Linked DNA regions of Callithrix jacchus. The protein of the gene in region 1 interacts with the protein of each later gene in a pairwise test. Links are inferred from orthologs where the notes say so. Each region holds a gene or a part of one and is shown on either strand. Other genes may lie near its edges.

Region 1 (4,377 bases):
ACCTCCCAACACTGCATACACAAAGAAGAGATCGTGTAAGGACTGCAGCAAGGTGACCATCTGCAGTTCACGAAGAGAGCCCTCGCCTCCAGAAACCAAATTTGTTGGCATCTTAATTATGGACTTCTGCCCTCCAGAACTGTGAGAAGATAAATGTCTGTGTTTAAGCCACGCAGCCTCTGGTGCTTAGTTGTGGTGCCCAGAGTGGAGTAAGACATCCATCAAGAATGCATGAGAGTTCCGTTTGTTCAGCATCTTCCCCAATGCTTGGTATTGTCAGCATTTTAAATTTGAGTCATTCTAGTGGATGGACAGTGCTTCCTCATTGCGGTTTTAATTTTCATTTCTCTGCTGAATCGTGACGTTGAGCACGTTTTCACATACATATTGGCCATTTGGATATTCTCTTTTGCTAAGTGCCAGCTTTTGTCTTTTGTCCATTAAAAAAAATTTTTTTTCTTGTTGATCTCTAGGAGTTCTCGATATATTCTGCATGAGTCCTTTGCCAGATAGAGCTATTGAAAATATCCTTTTTTTCAGTGTCCTGCTCTTTTTCTCTTAATGTTCTTTTGATGAACATCTGCTAGAACATTGGTGGTTGCAAAACTGTTTCACACACATCATCTTACAAATGCCTCTTCCCACTGACAGATATTCAGGCTGGGGCCATTGGTCTTTATGAGACTGGAAAACTGAAGCTCTCATCTATGGCACTTGTGCAAGAAGGATTCCCCCCTCTACACACACTCGTATCACTACTAGTGTGGCACTGGGTGACTAAGCCTCGCAATAGACTCCTCTATTCCACAAAGGCATCAGGTTGGTGATCAAAGCCACATTTACTAGGCCCCTGCTGACTTTCAGGTCCTGTGTGTGGTAGGTACATAAGGGTGAGCAAGACCAGAACCCATCCCCAAACAGCCTCCAGTCTGGCAGAGGCACTGAGGTACTAGAGAAGAATTCCTGTCTCTAAAGCATCCCCTAAGGCCCTGCTTGACGCCAGGCTGATAGGAAGGGCGGAGGACAGAACTGAAACAGAAGTGGCCCTTTACCTTGAAAACCTTACAGACTGCTGAAGAGCGACTAAAAACCACAGGCCAGAACCACCCAAGGCAGAGAGAGAAATCCACTCCCTACCCCCCGAGAAAAAAAGCATGAGCCAGGGGTGGGGAGAACAAGGGACCTGCTCCGTTCTGGAACAGTGAGCACACTGTGGACACACATTGCTTTGGGCTCAAATCATGACTCTGGCCTGGTTTTTACCTCTCTTATAGGTTCGTTGTGAGCGCTAAGTGAATTTCATATAAATTATTCCAAGCTTGTGCATGTTTAGAGAGTAAGCGCTGTGAACGCCAGCCCGTCTTATTCAAATATAGGGATGGGGAGGGTCGCTTTTACTTAAAAAAAATAATAAAAGTAAAAGCCCTCTAAAGAGAGCTTTCCGAGGAAGACGCGAACAAACCTGCCGCCACCGACCTAATTTTTAGAGAAGAGAGCCGAGCGGAGCGCCGGGAAACAGGTGGCGAATGGGCCGCGCGCGCCCGCTACCTGGTCTTGCCACAGGCGTGACCGTAAAGGGGCCCGGCCCTGTCGTGAAAGGGCCGCAAACAGGCGGAGGGCGAGTTGACGGCTGCGTCTCCATTTTGTTGGTCGCTGCGCTGTGTCCGTCCACGGTGATTCTTCCGATAGAGTTCCGAAGCGAAAGGCTTACAATTAAAAGGAAGAAAAAATTTAAAGATAATTCGGGAGTACTATGGACAAAGCGTGTGGATCGCCTAGACTCCAGCAGTAACTCCTGATCTGCAGTCCCCAGGGGGGTCCAGTAAGGATAACGTCACTACTGCGGTCTTAAAGAAGCGGCAGGAGGAGATGCGGCCTCTGGACATCGACGAGGTGGAAGCGCCAGAGGAGGTGGAGGTGCTGGAGCCCGAGGAGGATTTCGAGCAGTTCCTGCTCCCGGTCATCAACGAGATGCGCGAGGACATCGCGTCTCTTATACGCGAGCACGGGCGGGCGTACCTGCGGACCAGGAGCAAGCTGTGGGAGATGGACAATATGCTCATCCAGATCAAGACGCAGGTGGAGGCCTCGGAGGAGAGCGCCCTCAACCAGGCGCAGCACCCGAGTGGCGAAGCCGACGAGAGAGTGTCGGAGTTGTGCGAGAAGGCCGAGGAGAAGGCCAAGGAGATCGCGAAGATGGCAGAGATGCTGGTCGAGCTCGTCTGGCGAATAGAGAGAAGTGAGTCTTCTTGAAGGAGGACATCGGTGGTAAGGTCTGAACCTGGCGGGAGCTCGGATGGAACTCAGTAGTCGCCCTAAGCATGGTGTGAAACCGCGCCCTGTCAAAAGTTATATCCTAGGCCTGCACTCCCCGCCCCCCCCCATTTTTATTGCATCAAAAATTGAGCATTGGGAACGAAGTTGGGGTCAAGAGGAAAGAATGCGTGCTGGTTTTGTTAGGTGTTAGTGTACCGTTTTTGTATGGCCTCTCCCTCCCACACTGATAGAGGAAAATAAAAGTAACTTGGGGTTTGTGAAACATGAAAGTCAATTCTAATAGGGCGGTCCCCAGAAGTAGACCTGACTAGGCACCAAGGGAGTTTGGGGAAAGCCAAAGAAAACCTAGGCCGTAGAGCAAAATGGAACGCAGGGCGAGAACGCAGGCAAAGAGAAAGAGTAAAGCCAGAGGACATTACCTGAAATTTCCAGATTGTTCTATGAGGCAGGTATGTCAGAAGACCCTGTCTCAAAGCAGTGGCATTCTTCTGGTTGGTTAACATTTATTTTTAACATCAGGATATGGAACTTTTCATGGTCAATTTCTCCCAATTGTGCTTTAGGTTCACAGCTGAGGACTATAGTCAGCTGGTAAGGATGAACTGACACATTGAGGAAACCGAAACCGCTTGTCATCTCTGTTTTGTTTTTGTATGTTTTTTACCCCCATGTAACAGTCTCCCTTATGGTCAGTGATTGATAAGCTCGGTATGGGTTTACATCTTCAAATGTATTTGGTTCTGGAAGGATAACTTTTGTGGGAGAAATACTGTTGTAAGAGAAACGGGGCTTCATCAAAAGTTGTTTTCGCCGTTACTTTTATTCTTGTTACTTGCTTTTGAAATGTTGGGCATGACCTTGTATTTTGCTGTTACCTTTGTGACCTGATTGTTTTTTGGAACACATCAAGACCTGGGATCAGAATCTTCCGACTTTAGAGGGGCCTGCCTTGCACTACTTGGTTGAGCCTCGTGAAGAATGTATTAATGAGGCAGCTTTGCATAAAGCTGGGAAGACCGAGAAGACAGCTGGAGATGGAAGTGGTTTTGTATATATTTTGGAACTTTCGTTCCTCTGTGAGATGAAAGAGGAGAGCTATGTTTTGTGGCACATTGTCTGATGTATCTTGTGTAATCTGTCAGGTGAGTTGATTTAGACAGCATAGCTGACCTTATGTGACAAGGCAGTGAGTATGGACTGTTGTAATACCCTCACACATCACAGGGGCTTCAGAGAATGGCACTGAAGAGACAGTCTACAAAGAGCCTTGAGAGACTGGAGAAAGGAAAAGACATTATCAGGGCCTGGAAAGTCTCTTCCAGTTCATCAGGGTAGTAGACCTGTCAGATTGGAGGTCAAAGTCAAACATATAAAAAGTGTTAATTTGCCTTGAAAAACAAAGACCTCAAAAGCCTTTTTTAAGAAATAAATTTTTCGTTCACATGACCAAAACCCCTCCTGTGTGTGTTAACAAAAGAATCATAAATAAATTTTTTTGAAATGGATGTTCTTCATTGTCATCAAATGGGGTTGAACTGCTTCTAGTTAAAGGCTCTTGGTAAGCCTTTAACTGAGGGAGAATTATTTCTGGAACATGCTATGGAGATGAGCTGACAGAAACCCAGTTCTGGAGAGAAAAACTTTCGGCCATCCTCTGGGTCCAGCCCCTACCTTTCAGCAGCAGACATGTGTTTAGTCACCCAGTGGGAATGTGACGTGCTTCATATCCTGCACGTAAAGGTAAGAGATGAATGGGGCGAAGGTGTGGGACAGAAACGGAATATAAGGAACTGCAGACAGAGTGCGTGGGTGTCTTGTGGGAGCCCTGAGGAGGGAGTCACCTCTGCATAGGGGAGTGTGCAAACTCAGAGCAGGTGACTTACCTGGGCCTGAAAAGTAGAAATGAGTGAAGGCATATGAGGCACAGGGATCAAAGTGAGCAGAAGCCTTTCAAGTTATAGCACTGGGGAGATGGCCGGTGAGCTGGAAGTTAAGGAGTGTGGATGGGTTGTGGGAGACAGAGTGAAGTCGGCAGACAGGGCTAAGAACCTTTGTTAAGGACTTAATTCATCTTCATAAGTCTGCACTTCAGTGACATTT
Region 2 (3,505 bases), on another chromosome or scaffold:
CATAAGGAAAATGAGACAGTCTGTGCTTGCCTAATGACACAATAGAAAGGCATCAACAAACCTGCCAAGCAGTGTCACAAATGCATGTTGGGACCCCAGAACATCCAAGACACTGACCTTTTTATTTTATATATATGTTTTTTGAAACAGAGTCTTACTCTGTTGCCCAGGCTGGAGTGTAGTGGTGGGATCTCTGCTCACTGCAACCTCTGCCTTCTGGGTTCAAGCAGTTCTCCTGCCTCGGCCTCCTGAGTAGCTGGGATTACAGGCACGTGCCACCACACCCAGCTAATTTTTGTATTTTTAGTGGAGATGGGGTTTCACCACGTTGGCCAGGCTGGTCTCGAACTCCTGAGCTCAAGTGATCTACCGACCTCGGCCTCCCAAAGGCATGGACCTTGGGTTATGTGCTGGGCACTGAACTAGAAACTTCCACTGCATTAGCTCACGTAAGTTCACAGCAGCCTTATGGGGCCGTGTAAAGCAGAGGGTAACAACAGTGGCGCTCTAGAGTCCCAGACCTGGGTTTCAGCCTGAGTGTGTTCCTTTCCTAATTGTGTTGCCTTTAGCAAGGAGCTTCTAGAAGTTAGAGCCTGAGTGCCTTACAACTATAGAGGGGAGATGATTATTAGGATTCAGCAAGACGCACATAACATCATACAGTCTAGTCCCTGCACTTAAGTGTTCAAGAGACAATACACTTATTTTTCCATGCATTACATGGTACCAGTAAGGACACTGAGGCCCATGGAGAGCAGAGCTGTGCTATTTCATTCATCCCTGTAACCCCAGCACCTGGCACATGTGAACAAATGAAAAGTGATGTCCCAGGGATGAACAAACCAGTACCTGGTAGAGCCAGGATGCCAGCTCAGGTCTTCCTGACTGCAGCCCTGTACACCTGGTCATCAGGTTGTCCTAGGGAGATCTGACTGTGGGGTGGCCATGGCAGTGTATTAGTCTGCTCAGACAACTATAACAAAACACTACATGCTGAGTGACTTAAACAAGAGACGTTTATTTCCCACAGTTGGGGAGACTGGGAAATCCCACATCGTGGTGTTTGCCGGTTCAGGTTTTGGTGAGGACTCTCTTGCTGGCTTGCAGGCGTGTCTGCCTTCTTGCTGTGTCCTCACATGGGAGCGAGTGGAGCATAACACAGTGCTCTAGTGTCTCTTCAGGAACTGTAAGCCAGGGCAGTGGAGCACACCTGTCGTCTCTGCTGCTCAGGAGGCTGAGGCGGGAGGATCGTGTGAGCCCAGGGGTTCAAGACTAGCCTAGGCAACATAGGGAAATCTTGTCTCAAAAGAAAAAAAAAAAAGGCCGGCCAGGTACGGTGGCTAACTCCTGTAATCCCAGCACTTTGGGAGGCTGGGAGGGGGGTGTGGATCACAGGGTCAGGAGTTCGAGACCAGCCTGACCAACATGGTGAAACCCTGTCTCTACTAAAAATACAAAAATTAGCCAGGCATGGTGGTACACGCCTGTAATCCCAGTTACTCAGGAGGCTGAGGCAGGAGAATCGCTTGAACCCAGGAGTGGAGGTTGCAGTAGGCCAAGATGGCGCCACCGTACTCCAGCCTGGGTGACAGAGCGAGACTCCGTGTCAGAAAAACAAAAACAAAAACAAAAAACAACCATTCTTTCAGATCAGGGAATCAGAGGGGCAGGGCCCCACCCCATGCCTCATTTCACTTTAATTATTTCCCTATAGGCCCATGTCCAAATACAGTCACATTGGGAGCGAGAGTTTCACCATATGAATTTGGGGGAACCTAAACATTTAGTCCATGCCAGTGGACCCCCAAGCTGACTCTGACAGCCCTGCCTCTCCCACAGGCACCCTCTGTGAATGCTACGACGAGCTGGGCAATCGCTACCAGCTGCCCATCTATTGTCTGTCACCACCTGTGAACCTGCTGCTGGAACACACGGAGGAGGAGACCCTGGAGCCCCCCGAGCCCCCACCCAGCATGCGCCGCGAGTTCCCGCTGAAGGTGCGCCTGTCCACGGGCAAGGACGTGAGGCTCAGCGCCAGCCTGCCTGACACAGTGGGGCAGCTCAAGAGGCAGCTGCATGCCCAGGAGGGCATCGAGCCGTCGTGGCAGCGGTGGTTCTTCTCCGGGAAGCTGCTTACAGACCGCACACGGCTCCAGGAGACCAAGATCCAGAAAGATTTTGTCATCCAGGTCATCATCAACCAACCCCCACCGCCCCAGGACTGATGGGCCCACGGACCCCTGGAAAGAGGCCCTGCCTGGAGCACTCGGCCCCCACCCTGCTGCTGCCTTCCAGTGCTGTCATTTTCTTCAGGGGCCCTCCGCTCGGTGTGGCTGGTGGGTGAGCAGTGAAGGGACCCTGCCTTTCAGGGCACTGTGTGCCACCAGTGCCCGGTACGCAGGGAGCAGGCGGCCACACTTGGGCCTTGCAACCTTGTCAGAGAAAAGGTGAATGGGGCCCTCGCCCTGCCTCCCCTCTGCAGCAGGTTCGAGCCACGAGGGCTAGCCTGGAGGCCTCTGGAGCCCAGATCTATCATCTGGTGCTGCCGGCTGTGCTCACTCCGGTTTTCTGCTCAGGGTCTGAAACAGCTGCTGTCTCCCTCGTCTGCCCCCTTCCCCTGGCTCTCCCCTGGGCACAGTGCCACTCCCTGGGAAGGGAGGGAACCACCCGTGAGCCCCAGGGCTCGGGAAGCCTGAGGCAGGCTTCTGCCTCTCCGTGCCCCCAGCACAATTGGCAGAGATGAGGCAGGTGGTGGACGGCTGGACTGTCGTGGCAGGGGTCTGCACAGTGTCATGTCCTAGCTGTAACCCAGGCAGTGGGAGGTCTGCAGCCTGGTCACGGCCCCCACAGCAGGTCCCTGTGGACAGACATATCTGCATATTTATCAATAAAGCCTTTTGCTCCATCTCGCTTGCCTGGCATTTGACTGAGTTCTGCAGCTCTGTGGGACCCCTGGAGCTGTTCTGGTATGAGAGCAGGTGGATGCCTGGCCTCCCAGCTGCTCTGGGCACGAAATCTCCAGCAGGGAGAGCCTGGAACTGCCAGGCTTCTGGGCCCTGATCCCAGCCCCCTGGTGTCCTCATGAGTCCTCAGGAAAAGCCACTTAACCTCTGAACCCCCTTTGCTTTTCTTTAAAGCAGAGCCATGCTGCCTGCCCTGCCTCCTCCATCAGTTGCTGGGAGGATTAAGCAGGAAGACAGATGTGAAAGTGGTTGGAAGGTGAAGACAGCAACTCAGGCAGGAGGGGCTGGCTTCCAGCTCCTGGAGATGCTGTGCCCATCGTGATGTTAAAGCAAAGTCACTGGCAGATTTAGATGATGAGCATATGTCAGAGGTTTGTGTCAGCTTCCCAGCAAGCAAGCCAGGGAGGAAAAGGAACCAGTTCCTCCTGCTTCCTAGGGGAATGCATGCATATCTGAAGACAGGGGTATCTTATATAAGGCTATTTAGCTAAGGGAAGCCACCAGCCAGGTGAGCCTTGCAGAAGCGCAGGGCCAGGTGTCTG

Evidence for each region.
Region 2: the proteins of MRFAP1L1 (region 1) and UBTD1 interact in binary tests that used the Homo sapiens proteins (3 or more experiments, as listed by UniProt). The two-hybrid records come from large-scale screens. The link is inferred for Callithrix jacchus from reciprocal best matches to the Homo sapiens genes MRFAP1L1 and UBTD1.

Annotation. Positions count from the first base shown.
Region 1 is NC_133504.1:186,946,390-186,950,766, reverse strand, and holds MRFAP1L1 (MORF4 family-associated protein 1-like 1), read left to right. Parts: upstream 1-1,620; 5' UTR 1,621-1,869; coding exon 1,870-2,253; 3' UTR 2,254-3,782; downstream 3,783-4,377.
Region 2 is NC_133513.1:90,379,524-90,383,028, forward strand, and holds the end of UBTD1 (ubiquitin domain-containing protein 1), read left to right. Parts: intron 1-1,839; coding exon 1,840-2,225; 3' UTR 2,226-2,905; downstream 2,906-3,505. UniProt on the Homo sapiens protein: May be involved in the regulation of cellular senescence through a positive feedback loop with TP53. Is a TP53 downstream target gene that increases the stability of TP53 protein by promoting the ubiquitination and degradation of MDM2.